Macaca mulatta: one gene and its partner. The protein of the gene in region 1 purifies or fractionates together with the protein of each later gene. This does not show direct contact. Links are inferred from orthologs where the notes say so. Each region holds a gene or a part of one and is shown on either strand. Other genes may lie near its edges.

The links.
Region 2: the proteins of HNRNPA0 (region 1) and DHX9 purify together in Homo sapiens (affinity purification with mass spectrometry; 3 studies listed by BioGRID and IntAct, with this or other methods). This does not show direct contact. The link is inferred for Macaca mulatta from reciprocal best matches to the Homo sapiens genes HNRNPA0 and DHX9.

What each region holds. Positions count from the first base shown.
Region 1 is NC_133411.1:146,603,116-146,606,830, reverse strand, and holds HNRNPA0 (heterogeneous nuclear ribonucleoprotein A0), read left to right. Parts: upstream 1-1,155; 5' UTR 1,156-1,324; coding exon 1,325-2,236; 3' UTR 2,237-2,907; downstream 2,908-3,715. UniProt on the Homo sapiens protein: mRNA-binding component of ribonucleosomes. Specifically binds AU-rich element (ARE)-containing mRNAs. Involved in post-transcriptional regulation of cytokines mRNAs.
Region 2 is NC_133406.1:40,348,874-40,351,608, forward strand, and holds the end of DHX9 (ATP-dependent RNA helicase A), read left to right. Parts: intron 1-1,340; coding exon 1,341-1,707; 3' UTR 1,708-2,118; downstream 2,119-2,735. UniProt on the Homo sapiens protein: Multifunctional ATP-dependent nucleic acid helicase that unwinds DNA and RNA in a 3' to 5' direction and that plays important roles in many processes, such as DNA replication, transcriptional activation, post-transcriptional RNA regulation, mRNA translation and RNA-mediated gene silencing.

The DNA of each region.
Region 1 (3,715 bases):
CAACACATGGATGATGTAAATTACACATAAAAACCCATTCACTGAGGTTAAATGAAAATTTTGGAGTATGCCAAGGGGACCTGAAAGGGCCTCCTTCTGAGAGGGCGTCGTGGGAGGGCTTCAAGGATGGCGGGATGGTGGCAGGGATGTCGCGCCTCGTCTGGTTCGTAATGTCTGAAGCTCTTTGGTTCCGTTGTCTTTCACACCGCCGCCTCGGGCTCGCTTTTGCGCAGGGCCACGTGGCAGAGTTTTAGTTTAACCGCATGTCGGCCCACCGTAAACGGTTAATAACCGCCTTCGTGGACCAGGCCTCTGCCCTCCATCTTTGTGCGGGCGGGAGGTGGGGCGGGGACGCCAGGTGTAGCGGACAAGCGGAAAGGCGGCGGGTAGATCCGGGCCCCCAACCCCAACGTCAAGTTTTCAAAAAGCCCGCGCATGGCGCCCCAGGCCGCATCCGCTGGGAATGGCCCCCAGCGCGCCTCCTGCTCTCTCCCCTGCAAAGCCCTGGGCTGCAGAAGGCGAGGGGGTGGCAGACAGGTTCTGCACGCTGGGGGCGCCGGGGCAAGCGCGCACCGGGGAGCGCGCCCGTCCAACAGCTGCCGAAAACGGAAGTGGGTGCGAGGGGATCACGGTGATTGGCTGAACTGACATGTCTCTCAAGGGGCTGGCGCGAACGCCACTGCGGAGTTGGGCGCGGAGATGAGGAAAGGGGAGGGGGAGAAACACTGGGAACAGCCGCAGTGCTAGGAGGAAATGAATCGCGGCGGTGCGCGGAGGGCAGGGAGGGACCCATGTCAAGGGACAATAGGGCGCTCGGGAATGAAAGCGGGTTGGCAGAAGGGGAGGCGGGAGCGGCACAGGCCGCGGGCTTGAATAGACCGCGGAGGGCGGGGAGTCCGTGATCTAGAGCGGCGCTGCGGCGCGGTAGGCGGGATTAAGGGGAGCGAGGCGGGGATTGGAGGGCAGCCCTAGGCTGCCGTACGTCGGCGGTGACGCACGCCTCGGGGAGGGTGCGCGCGCGTTCAGCGGCCTCTTTGTGTGGTGCCCAGATAGGGGAGCGGAGGTGGCGGCGGCGGTAGCGGTGGCCTTGGTTGTCTTCCAGTCTCCTCGGCTCGCCCTTTCGCCGGCACCGCTCCCCTTCCCTCCCCCTTCCTTTCTTCCTTCCTTCCCTCCCCTTCCCTTTTTCCCTTCCCTGTCGGTGACCGGCGGGGGTGGCTCCAGCAGCGGCTGGGCCCAAGCTGTGTAGAGGCCTTAACCAACGATAACGGCGGCGACGGCGAAACCTCGGAGCTCGCAGGGCGGGGGCAAGGCCCGAGCCTTGGAGATGGAGAATTCCCAGTTGTGTAAGCTGTTCATCGGCGGCCTCAATGTGCAGACGAGTGAGTCGGGCCTGCGCGGCCACTTTGAGGCCTTTGGGACTCTGACGGACTGCGTGGTGGTGGTGAATCCCCAGACCAAGCGCTCCCGTTGCTTTGGCTTCGTGACCTACTCCAATGTGGAGGAGGCCGACGCCGCCATGGCCGCCTCGCCCCATGCCGTGGACGGCAACACTGTGGAGCTGAAGCGGGCGGTGTCCCGGGAGGATTCGGCGCGGCCCGGTGCCCACGCCAAGGTTAAGAAGCTCTTTGTCGGCGGCCTTAAGGGAGACGTGGCTGAGGGCGACCTGATCGAGCACTTCTCGCAGTTTGGCACCGTGGAAAAGGCCGAGATTATTGCCGACAAGCAGTCCGGCAAGAAGCGTGGATTCGGCTTCGTGTATTTTCAGAATCACGACGCGGCAGACAAGGCCGCGGTGGTCAAGTTCCATCCGATTCAGGGCCATCGCGTGGAGGTGAAGAAGGCAGTCCCCAAGGAGGATATCTACTCCGGTGGGGGTGGAGGCGGCTCCCGATCCTCCCGGGGCGGCCGAGGCGGCCGGGGGCGCGGCGGTGGTCGAGACCAGAACGGCCTTTCCAAGGGCGGCGGCGGCGGTTACAACAGCTACGGTGGTTACGGCGGCGGCGGTGGCGGCGGCTACAATGCTTACGGAGGCGGCGGCGGCGGTTCGTCCTACGGTGGGAGCGACTACGGTAACGGCTTCGGCGGCTTCGGCAGCTACAGTCAGCATCAGTCCTCTTACGGGCCCATGAAGAGCGGCGGCGGCGGCGGAGGCAGCAGCTGGGGCGGTCGCAGTAATAGTGGACCTTACAGAGGCGGCTATGGAGGTGGGGGTGGCTATGGAGGGAGCTCCTTCTAAAAGAAAATTTAAAATGCCTGGGAGTGGCTATTGGGGTAGCTCTTTTCAAAAACCCAAGTGGGGTCAACTCCTAAGCCCCACCCCCTCACACCCACACCACCGCCTTCCCTGTTTTGCCCTTGGGGGAGCCACTTCTAAGGCTGCTTACCCTTGGGGGTGTTCCTCTATTTGCCTGCCACCTCTCTTGTCTCTCCCTCTGAAGATGGACTCGGCCCCACATACACATTTTTGTGTTACAGTCATTGATGGACTCTATTTTTTTATTATTACTTGGACCTTGGTCGTTTTTATACTAGCAAAATGTCTTGTTTTAATTTGTGTTTTTTGGGGGGAGGGAGGGAGTGAACTTGCTGATTCTGTAGCAAAACCTGGGCGGGGGTTGGGGTGGGGGGTAGTTTACTTTGTTGTAAGGACTTGATAACCTGGCTACAGCGTTTTCTATGAAATCTACTTGGATCCCATGCCTGAAATTTGGAAGCATATGTACAAAAATCATTTTTACGTTTTATTTTTAATAAATCATTGTGTTTGACCGTACATGTCTAACATTTCTTTTCTAGGATCCATTCCGTACCGTTTTTAAGGGATATTTGTTTAAGACTTTACGTGTTAATTCTTTATTCTTGATGTGTACTTAGAGAAACTTAAGAGGTCCTGTGGTCCCCCCCCCCGCCCCCCGTTGCCCTGCTAGTTGCGTGTTGAATTATATCCCCTACAGGCAAAACTTTTGAAGTGGTGGATGTGGCTTTTTAAACTCTTAAGTTTCTGTGCATCCATCTCTTGTACTAAGCGATTTGCTTACCATCTTGACATGGTTGGTCATTTCTATGACAATTTACTTCAAACTGTGTACTGTGTAGTTCTATATAGTTTGTGTTAAGCATGTCATTCATATAAACTGTTTAAAATTTTTCAGATGGCCTAGTTTCATCCCTCTTACTGGTTTATCTGTAATGAATGGTTAAAAATGAGGGTTATATTTTACCCTCAGATGCGTTTTTGTACTTTCAGAGCAGGTTTAAACGGTTTTTTTCCCCCTCTATATCTGAACTGTTGTCCTCATGGAAATCCTTTTCCCGATCTTTGTAGCACCACCTACTGGCAGAATGGCAGAGTAGCTGCGAAACAATTTGTTTAAAAACTTGCTTAGGACAATTGCATCAGATATAGAAGTTTTGCCATCAGAATTCTTTGCAGACTTGGAAGTTACACGTTTGCTTGTAACTGAGATGGGCTTCACAGGAATGTAGTTGCCAGTTCATATCACAATTGCCCTTTCTATATGAGGTTTGAAAATGTAAACTGCTATGCATAGCTTGGGCAATAGCCCTAAATTGCTATGACAACTAATGAACCAGCTACGTATACTGGTATTTTAGGTGCAAGTTGTAAAGCAAAATATCTGTGTATTCTGCTTGGTTAACAAATGTATATTTGTAGCCCTTTCATGCAATAGCATTCAAGTTGTTGTTTATAAGA
Region 2 (2,735 bases), on another chromosome or scaffold:
CCATGGTACTGTTTTGGCATCTCTAAAGAAAAAATATTGATGAGATGTTAAATTGCTTCTTTATCCAATGTGTATGTGTTTTTGTTTATCTTAAACAACTAAGAGCATGGACATCTTAAAGCAAAGAAATGAGAAATTTATCTTAATTCTTAAAATTTTTATTTGCTTCAGGTTTTAAAATTTTTTCCTTTGCCCATGAGTTTTTATTTACAAATACTTGATACTTGCCAAAAAGGCAGAAAAGTGATACAATGTTTAGCCATATAGTCTTTGTTTAGATTCACTAATTTTCAGCGTTTTGTACATTTCCTTAATCATTTGTGATGAAGTAGTAGGCACTACCACATTTTACATCAATACACTTCATATCTTTTAAGAACATGGTCACAATACCACCCCAAAACCTTAAGTGTTTTAGTAATACTATAATATGCTATTGTACTAAAATCCTTCCAGTTATCCAAAAATGACCTCTAATTCCTCATCAAAAATGACTTACTGCATTTGGTCTGTCTATAAAATGGGTAGATGGTTATCCTCATTCTCTTTAATATAAATAAGGAAACCGGGCACAGATAAGACTCAAGGTCATACAACTAATAACTGATAGAACCAGATTCAAACCCAGGCAACATGCCTCCTGAAACAGTGTTCTTACTAGGCTTTACTGTGGCCCTCCTAGGTGCTTAAATGTATAGGATAATTCAGTAAGCATCATAGGCAGATAACAAATTAAGTATTCATGGGTGTTTAGGAGAAGAGAGATTATTTTTGGTAGGAGGGCTGGTAAGCAAGGAACCTTTGTATATATAATCTGTTTCTATGAGGGATAGTAGTCCAGAAACTAGAAAGAAAGGGATATACGTAAGAGAGTTTAGGATGTATGAATATGTGGTGGCCTAAATTACAGTAGTAGATAGAATTTTTCAAAATTAGATATACATTTTTCAAAATCGTATTTCAGAATTATTGCAGGAAAACTTTTAGTGATAAAGACCAAATAGTTTATTGGCAGCTCCAGGAACCCTCTCCTAATGCTTGCCTTCTTGGAACACTATGTTGTTGACCTGAGTAAGAGCACTTCTTAAAGTTGTAATGACATACTGCCAAAATTCAAAACCTTTGAGATTGAACCAGAAAGAACTTCAGAAAAACAGATGGATATAATTGATGACTGTTTTAGAATAGCAGATCAATTTTGTTTCAATTTCGATTTGTGCGTTTGGCTTCATTCCCTTTATGTATTAAATTTTCAAATATAACTAACTGTGTGCATTTGGTGAGTGGTTGGGAAATAATAAGAATGCTTTGCTGAAGTGATGGTTTTGTGCTTTTCCTAGGTATGGAGATGGTCCACGTCCTCCCAAGATGGCCCGATACGACAATGGAAGCGGATATAGAAGGGGAGGTTCTAGTTACAGCGGTGGAGGCTATGGCGGTGGCTATACCAGTGGAGGCTATGGTGGCGGAGGCTATGGTAGCGGAGGCTATGGTGGCAGCCCCAACTCCTTTCGGGCAGGATATGGTGCAGGTGTTGGTGGAGGCTATAGAGGAGTTTCCCGAGGTGGCTTTAGAGGCAACTCTGGAGGAGACTACAGAGGGCCTAGTGGAGGCTACAGAGGATCTGGGGGATTCCAGCGAGGAGGTGGTAGGGGGGCCTATGGAGGTGGCTACTTTGGACAGGGGAGAGGAGGTGGTGGCTATTAAATCTTGGTTATGTCAGTTCCTGTGTGTAGACAGTAAGGAAAAAAAGGCATGCTATGTGTTACGTGTTTTTTCCAATATGTTTATTTGCCACCAAAAAGTAAATGCATTTTCACCCATTCTGTGGTTCATTGTAGTTTAAGGAAACCAAGCATATAGATGCATTAGTGATTTTGTTTATATTATGTAAAATATAACGATCTATCTTAAAAATACCACAGTTTGTATTTTTTCTTTAAGGAGTAAAGATTTGCCTTTAAATAACTTGGTATTTTCCTGGCTTTCGTTTAATACAGTAGAAAATAAAGTATTACACCGAATACTTGCCGTGTAGTTTGTTGACCTTATATATTAGAAAATTTTATAATGCCAGTTACATCTGTTCATTTTAAATGTCAGAGAAGTTGTACCATGTTTCAAAAGTATACTAAGTGATACTACTTGTAATAGAAAAATCACCTTGGAATTGTTACCTTTTGAAGTAAATACTGGCAAGTGTACAAGCCACATAAACCTGAATAAAACTTTTGACCTAGGGCTGAACATTTGGCTTCCTCCCATATTCTGTCTTTGAATAAGACCAAGGCCAGCATTTTCTTTTCTAAGTGAGTTTCTACTGTGACAATTAAAAGCAATATAATCACTCCGTTAGAACTCTTAAGCCACTTTAATAGACATGTTCATACATTTATAACACTTTACAGTTTCCAGTGAATTTGCAGATTTCTCATTTGAGCAATGGGAGAGGGCAAAGGTATTGGATTAGACAGAACTGGGTCTGTCTTAATTCTTTTCTCCACCATGTGGATGATCTTGGGCAAGTCATATTTTTGTCTTGGTTTCCTTTTCAAAGTCCTTTATCCTGCATATATGTTGTAGATCACCTTCAGCAGTTAAGCTGATGGCACATATTTACAGACACACAAGTCTATCTCCAACCTTGATTTCCTTTCTGAGCCATGTAAGCAGCTGCATACTGAACATGTATCTCTGCTTAAATATCCCACAGAAAAAAATCTCAGTGCTTTCCA